2 linked regions of the Ovis aries genome follow. The protein of the gene in region 1 interacts with the protein of each later gene in a biochemical or structural test. Links are inferred from orthologs where the notes say so. Each region holds a gene or a part of one and is shown in the gene's direction. Other genes may lie near its edges.

What was found.
Region 2: the proteins of BLNK (region 1) and CD79A form a complex in vitro, tested with the Homo sapiens proteins (2 studies listed by BioGRID). The link is inferred for Ovis aries from reciprocal best matches to the Homo sapiens genes BLNK and CD79A.

Annotation. Positions count from the first base shown.
Region 1 is NC_056075.1:17,382,345-17,386,152, reverse strand, and holds part of BLNK (B-cell linker protein), read left to right. Parts: intron 1-665; coding exon 666-829; intron 830-3,808. UniProt on the Homo sapiens protein: Functions as a central linker protein, downstream of the B-cell receptor (BCR), bridging the SYK kinase to a multitude of signaling pathways and regulating biological outcomes of B-cell function and development.
Region 2 is NC_056067.1:50,930,091-50,934,482, reverse strand, and holds the start of CD79A (B-cell antigen receptor complex-associated protein alpha chain), read left to right. Parts: upstream 1-1,371; 5' UTR 1,372-1,396; coding exon 1,397-1,472; intron 1,473-2,847; coding exon 2,848-3,141; intron 3,142-3,364; coding exon 3,365-3,483; intron 3,484-4,372; coding exon 4,373-4,392. UniProt on the Homo sapiens protein: Required in cooperation with CD79B for initiation of the signal transduction cascade activated by binding of antigen to the B-cell antigen receptor complex (BCR) which leads to internalization of the complex, trafficking to late endosomes and antigen presentation.

The DNA of each region.
Region 1 (3,808 bases):
ATGTTTGCGGTGGGGCCTTGGCATTTTTTTTAAAGCTCCTAGGTGGTTCCTAGGGGCTTCCCTTGTAGCTCATATGGTAAAGAGTCTGCCTGCAATGTGGGAGACCCAGGTTGGATTCCTGAGTCAGGAAGGTCCCCCGGAGAAGGAAATGGCAATCCACTCCAGTATTCTTGTCTGGAAAAATTCTATGGATGGAGGAGCCTGGCAGATAGAGTCCATGGAGTTACAAAGAGTCAGACATGACTTAGCAACTAACACATTCACTTTCACAGGTGGCTCCTATGTGTAAGCAGGATTGAGAATCATCACACTTAAGGCTTCAGGGAGCAAAGTGAACCCACTGAGGATTACTGCTCCCCTTAGCCCCCGACACTGCCAAGGTCACCATCTACTCTATTTAGCCGCATGCTTGGACTATCAGCTCTCCTGGGTCTGTGGGTTTCATGGCTCCCTGGGAGGATACTGTTCTGGTTTTTATAATGTAGGTCAATGGGTTGTTGAAATTGTTGCCTGTCATACTTTTTAAAGGAATGCCCCAGTCAAGAGCATGTTGGCTACATGGATGCTGGTAGTTTTCTACTTTCTAGAACTCGGTGGCTTCTGCCCAAGAAATGATCCAGAACCCTTTCATCTTATGTTTTGTTGTTCTTGCTGTTCCTCTCAAGACAACCGATCAAGCCAGAGGCAGTCTCCACCCTTCAGCAAGACTCTTCCCAGTAAACCCAACTGGCCTTCGGCAAAAGCGAGACTGGCCACCTCTCTGCCGGCCAACACTTCACTGCATAAACCTCAAGTCCCACCCAAACCCAAAGAGATCCTTGAGGATGAGGTAAAGTAAATCTGTCCGGGGAAGGCTGCCCAGACCACGGGGAAGGCTGGACGCAGGGGCCAGATGAGGGGAGGGGCAGGACAGTGTAGCCTCAGATGTGTCTTCCTTCCTCCAGGCTTGGGTCTCTGACCGGCCCTAACCACCTGCCCTGAAACTCTCCACTGTCCTGCTGAAAGGATGTTTTCTCTTAAAATGTCACATATGGCCTTATTTAAGCACTTTCATGTACTAATCAGGTATATGATGTAATATCCAACCTGGATTTGTGCCCCTCTCACTATTTCCTCTTTCTTATCCCTCCGTTTCCTGCAAATCTCTCATTCCTCCATAAGATACTTCCCCACCTTTATCCTCCCATGCTTCTCTCCCTGTCCTGCCTCATGTTCTTTCCCCCACTTTCTTTTCTCTCTGATCCTCTAAGCTGCAGAGGGGTGCAACAGGATGTATACTGGAGACCCCCTGTCTGTATGGAGACCCTGCACAACCCGTGGAAGAACTGACCCCGCACTTCCTTCGGCATCTCTTGCTTCTCTCTCTCTCTCCCCAGCCCCAGGTATCCAGGAACCTCCTTTGCCAACTGTCTGGGACCCATTTCTAGGTTTATCTTACCAATATCCCTTCTGCCAGCACCTAAATTTTTCATGTCTTATTCCCTATGAAATTTTAAAAAATGAATGGGTGAACTTATTCGGACTATTGTAAGAATGACTGATAAAGCCTAATACGTTATGGCTCCCAGAAGTACTGCATTTAAAGAAAGTCAAAGACAAGCCCTCAAACTTAGCCTTTAGAACATTTGTACAAGTGCAATGGGCTTCCCAGGTGGCTCAGTGGTAAAGAATTCGCCTGCCAATGCAGGAGATGTGGGTCTGATCCCTGGGTCAGGAAGATCCCCTGGAGTAGGAAATGGCAACTCGCTCCCGGATTCTTGCCTGGGAAATCCCATGGACGGAGGAGCCTAGCGGGCTACAGTCCATGAAGTCGCAAAGAGTCGTACATGACTGAGCGACTGAATACACAAGTGCAACAGGCTAAGAAAGAAAACAACATTAAAGGCAACTCTTAACCATCACCAGACATAATGGTACCGCAGCTTCTTGAAGAAGCAACTGTTTCTAAATGCCTATGGGTGATAAAACCTATAGCTTACAAACATGCTGTGAAATGACCTTCTTTTCCACCTTAGCATAATTTGTAGCCCAACAGGAGACATAAAAGAGAGACTTTTAAAATAAAATAGAGGCAGCATCCAGGCCCAAATTCCCACTTCACATTTACTAGTTGTGTGACTTTAGGTATCAGATGGAGAAGGCAATGGCAACCCACTCCAGTACTCTTGCCTGGAAAATTCCATGGATGGAGGAGCCTGGAAGGCTACAGTCCATGGGGTCGCTGAGGGTTGGACACGACTGAGCGACTTCACTTTCACTTTCATGCATTGGAGAAGGAAATGGCAACCCACTCCAGTATTCTTGCCTGGAGAATCCCAGGGACGGAGGAGCCCAGTGGGCTGCTGTCTATGGGGTCGCACAGAGTTGGACATGACTGAAGCGACTTAGCAGCAGCAGCAGCAGCAGCAGGTATCAGATAATCTCTCTGAGTCTCATCTTTTCATCTCTTCAGGTTCCTTTAAAGATTTAAGAAAGGAATATAAATACTTAATTCAGTGTCTCACACAAAGAAACATTCTATGTATTGCATAAACTGGATTCCTTTCTACCATATTCTAGATTCTTTATAAAATCTACTTTTCTAGTTTCTCCTGAAAACCAAGGGCCTGTCAACACATGGCCAGTCATGGCCTCGAAGCAGCTGAGCCTCATGGCACCCTTCCAGCTCAGCTGAGAATCCCCGGCCCCTGTTTCCGTTTGTCATCATCTTCACCACTGACACAAGGCGTGGACACAGCCTGACTCTGCACACGCCCAGTTGCTATTCCGTGCCTGCCTGTAAGCACTTGAGCTTATGAGCCCCCTCTCCAGGGACAGTTTAAGTCAGGAGGTCAGCAGACTGAGAATGAATTTGGTTTGTCAATCCTCAGTCTGTCTGTCAGTCCGAGGGGATGATGCCCTTTCAGGGTGTGAACAGGTGGCAAGGAGAATCTGAGCATGGGACACGGTAGGGAGACCATCGGTTAGGGTCTCACTGTGAATTCTTCCAGCATTCAGAGGGTCTATAGGAAGATACCAACTCAGACACAGAATACAAATGAAGACTGTGAGTTACGTGAGGCTCTCCATTTCTGTGAATAACTGCAGGTGGACCCCAGTGGGGATAGGCCGAGTTTTGCTAATAACAGCTTTTTGGTGGTGGCTCAGGCAAGTCTGAACCAGCGGGGAAAGGGGACGACTGGAGGAGATACATTCTGGAATGAGGAGATGGACAATCAAGATGAGGAAGAGTTAAAAAAGAAATAGAAGACAACATTAAGATCTGGCCAAGACATTAGATAGGAAAGGAAGAAGTCAAATACAAGCACAAATAAAAGTGTGTAGCTCTGCCATACAGGTTACAGGCAAAATATGGGTTACAGGCTGAGCAGAGAGTTGGGGCGAGGGGTGGAGGAGCAACTGCCCTGTAATGACAGGAGGGTCTAGCACTTGACAAGCACTGTGTATCGGCTGGTGATCTGAGCCCTCTGTGTGTATTATCTCATCACACCCTCAGAGCAACCCTATGAAGTGCATGCTAGTATCACCCCCATTACAGAGGAGGAAATGGTACAGATGAGGTGACGAGGGGTTGAAGAACTTGTCCAAGGTCAAAGAGCTATATGCTAGAGCCAGCATTTGGACCCAGATCATGAGATGCTAGAGCCCAGGTGCTACATGGCCTTCCTGGACTACCTCTCCAGCATCCGCTGACAAAAGACCAGCCCTTCATTCAACACAAATGTTCCAGGGCTTCACTGGTGCCCAGAGCACAGACCCAGGACCTGTCCTTGCAAGGTATCAGTTTTGTGATTTTATTTGACCTTGG
Region 2 (4,392 bases), on another chromosome or scaffold:
GAGCCCACTGTGGTCCTTGGATGTCAGGAATATCATCTTAAGTCACAGCACCAGGGAGATATTTTCATCCTCATCTCTTAGATTAAAAATGCTGAACCTCAGGGACTTCCCTGGTGGTCCAGTGGCTAAGACTCCATGCTCCCAATGCAGGAGGCCCAGGTTCAATCCCTGATCAGGGAACTAAAACCCACATGCCACAACTTACGAGAGTTCACGTGTCGCAATTAAGACCCTGCGCTGCCACATAAAATGATACATATATATATTTTTAAATGCCGAACCTCAGAAAGGAAAGCCATCACGCAGGCACAGAGTTGGTGAGCCTGCCTCATCTATTCCTCCTGTGTGTATGTTAGTCGCTCAGTCGTGTCTGACTCTTTGGGACCCCGTGGACTATAGCCCACCAGGCCCCTCTGTCCATGGACTTCTCCAGGCAAGAATACTGGAATGAGTAGCCGTTCCCTTCTCCAGGGGTTCTTCCCGCATCTCCTTATATGTGTGTGTGCATGGGATTGAACCCTTGTCTCCTGCATTGGCAGGTGGATTCTTTACCACTGAGCCACCAGGGAAGCCCTTATTCCTCATAAGCATTAATAATAACCGACCTTTACTGAGCACCTATCCACGTGCCGGGGTCCTGTGTTCAGCGCTGTGCATGTACAACCTCTTTTGTTGGAGAAATTCTCTTTTCCAACCCCAAGAAGGGAGGACACAGAGGCTTAGGGACTCCCCATGCTCCAATGGTTAAGAAGCCGCCCTGCAAGGCAGGGGACGTGGGTTTGAGCCCTGGTCAGGAAACTAAGATCCCGCGTGCCATAAGGCAATAAGCCCATGGCCACAACTAGAGAATCTGTGTGCCCCAACGAAAGATCCCGCATGACACAGCAAAGATCTCATATGCTGCGACTAAGACCCAATGCAACCAAATAAATTAATAAGTATCTAAAAAAAAAGAAGTGAGGACACAGGCTCGGAGAGGGGACAAGTTTTGCCCGAGGCCAATGAGAGGCAAAGACCAAGCTTGGAACCACCACCACCCTTGACTGCCTGTGTGCAGCAGGCCCCCCAAACCCTGGCTCCCTCGAGCAGGGCGGGTTTCCTTTCCAGTGACGAGCCAGGCCTTGAACCAATCTCTTCCCCCCACCCAAGCAGCCTCCTCTCAGGGGAGTTGTGGTGGCCACAGGTGCAAGAAGCGGTTCCTCTCCACTCACGGCCTGAAGCCTCCCCCACCAGGGGCTTCCCCCTCGCCCGCCAGCCAAAGGGCCCAGCAGTGGGGCCAGTGAAGCCCGTCTCCGCAGGGCCGGGCAGGAAGTGGGGCGGGGTTTGGGGCTCAGCGAGGTGGGATCTGGTACCCCAGGACTGCTGCAACCCAGACTAACCAACCCACTGGGAGAAGATGCCTGAGGGTCCCCAAGCCCTGCAAAGCTCACCTGCCACCATCTTTCTCCTCCTGATCTCCGCTGCTGGCCTGGGTATGTGGTTAGCAGGCAGGTGCTGGGGGAGGCGGTAGTGGGAACTGGGAGACTGTTGAGAGGGGCCCCAGGCAGAGGGGGAGGGAGAGGAGCTGGCAGGAGGCAGGCTAGAAAAGACCCTGTAGAAACTGCATCTGTCTGCTTGATTGTCTCAAACAGGCCGGTGGGAGGCTGGAGGGGGCTCAGCGAAGTTGAAGGTGCGTCCTGGCCCGGTGGAGGGAGGCAGGGGCAGGAGACACCTTCCCCAGCCGCTCATCCCCCCTGATCAAAATAAGGAACTAAGGTTGCCCTTGACTGACTGAGCTCCAGAGCTGGGGGCAGGGAGGGGACGGTGGTGGGTAGCAGTCAGCTTCAAGGGGGAGAAAAATCTTTCTCCTTTTCTGCCTTGAATCCTAGTCTTCACCCCCTACTTAGGGAACCCCCTTCTCAGTGCTGGGGGAGCAAGTGACCTTCCCCCTTGCCCTCCCACACAATGCCAGCTGGCAGGGCTGTGACCACCCTGTTTGACCAAGGAGTTGAGAGAGGCATCCAGTCACCCCAAATTTCCACTGGGAGCTGAGATTGGAGTGACTCCTCAGGTTGCTGTCTCTTACCCCACTTCTTCCTTCTTCTCTCTTCCCCACCTCTCCCCTCCTCCCTCCAAAAGAGGCAGAGCCAGCCATGCGGACTGGCCCAGGAGGAGGGGCACAGAACTGGGCCTTCCCCCGTGCCTGGGCCGCCCCATCTCCTTCGACCCAGCTGAGGCCCTCCCAGCCCTAACCAGCCAGCTCAGCCCAGTCCCTGACCTCACCCCTGGCCCCCAGCATGACACAAGCAAGCCAAGGAGAATGAGGGCCGGACCCAGGGTCACAGGGCAGGGCAGGCTCACAAACTGGCGAGAAGAGGCCCAGGGCCAAGGGACGCCTGCTGCTGTGGGTCGCAGCTGGCCCACTGGTAGAATGGGTTATGACAGAACCGATTCCTATGGGTTCTGTGATAATTACACAAAGTAAAGTGCCAGTGTGGAGCCAGGCAGGGGCTGGGTGAGAAAATAATCCAGGAGGGCCTTCAGGAGGAGGTGATGCCCAAACTGATTTTGTAAGGAGCTTCCTGGCCTGGGGCACTGCTAGTCCTAGGGAACTGCCTATTCAAGTGCCAGCGAGCTCAGAGGGGGTAGAAGCACAGAGCAGGGGGCAGAGGGAGGAGGTGGCTCTGGAGGGGCAAGTGGGGACACCTCCCAGCCCCCCCTCCACTCTGGGTGTGTCACTCACACTTCCCCACACCCCACCCCACATACACATACACACACGCAGCCAGGAGCCCTGCAGCTACCAGGGGCCGCGCTGGGTCAGTGTCCCCGTTGGCTGTCTCCAACCCGCCTGCCTCCTCTCTGCAGGCCCCGGGTGCCAGGCCCTGTGGGTGGAGTGGGGCCCACCCTCGGTGACGGTGAGCGTGGGGGAGGAGGTGCGCCTCCAGTGCATGCACAACGGCAGCAACACCAACGTCACGTGGTGGCGCGTCCCCCAAGGCAACTCCTCATGGCCCCCTGTGATGCATCGCGGGAGCCTGGGTGCCGGGGGCGAGCTGATCTTCAAGCAAGTGAACAAGAGCCACAGGGGCATGTATAGGTGCGAAGTCAGTGACGGCAAGAAGATACAGCGCTCCTGCGGGACGTACCTCCGCGTGCGAGGTGAGTGTCCATCCCGTCCATCCGTCGGGAAGGCGGGATGGAGCCCGTGCCGGCATCGCCTGCATCTCGGGCATCCTGGGTCTCCGGCTCTCACGCAGCGGCCAGTCTTCTCACCTGCAAAGCGGGAGCGGCTTCCAGGGTCTTGGGCCTCGCTGGAGGGGGCGTGGCCTAGGGGCGTGGCCAGCGGCAAGGTGGGGCTCTGAGCCGTATTCCCTCCTCACAGAGCCGCTCCCCAGGCCCTTCCTGGACATGGGGGAGGGCACCAAGAACAACATCATCACCGCTGAGGGCATCATCCTCCTCATCTGCGCCGTGGTGCCTGGAACGCTGCTGCTCTTCCGGGTGAGCCCGCCCCCCAGGCCCACCCCGCGGGAACTAGCGGACCCCCAAGAGTCCCTCCCGCCTAGAACTTGGCAGAATGGCAGCGCCCACCTCCCAGGCGCCGAGGGCCTAAAAATTTAATAGAATGAACGCATTCAAACTGTGCTGGGACCAGAGGGGCGTCCTTGCTCAGTCTCCCCTCAGGGTTGTCTTCACCTCTGGCCCCAGGGATGCCTCACTGGTCCCTCTATCCAGGAGGGCTGTACCCTTCAGATGTAGCCCAGGACGGGGAAGATGGGAGCTGGTGTCATCCCGGATGTCTGACCCCCACCGGAGACTCTGGCATGCCTGTGGGTTCAGCCGCTAAGCGGTGTGTCTGGTTCTTTTGCGCCCCGTGGCCTGTAGCCCGCCAGGCTCCTCTGTCCATGGGATTTCCTAGGCAAGAATACCTGAGCTTCCACAGTGGCTCAGCAGTGAAAGAATCCACCTGCAATGCAGGAGACGTGGGTTCCATCCTTAGGTCGGGAAGATCCCCTGGAGAAGGGAATGGCAACCCACTCCAGTATTCTTGCCTGGAGAGTCCCATGGACAGAGCCTGGCGGGCTACCGGCCACAGGATCGCAAAAAATGTCAGACACAACCGAGCGACTAAAACAACAACAAATGCTCTTTAGGCCACAAGACAACTATAGCCACTTAGTATTATTGCTCTCACTATTTGTGGGGAAGAATAGGCAGTGGGGACAATCAAAAGGACACTGGCTTGGACCCAGAGTGGCCCGCCACTTACAGGATATGTGACTCTGGGCATGTCCCTCAACTCCTCCTGGCCTCCACGAGGGTCTGAAAACACGATCTCTATCTGCCCGCCCTCCGCCCCCACTCACTGAGGCTCCCCATCCCACAACAGAAACGATGGCAGAACATGAA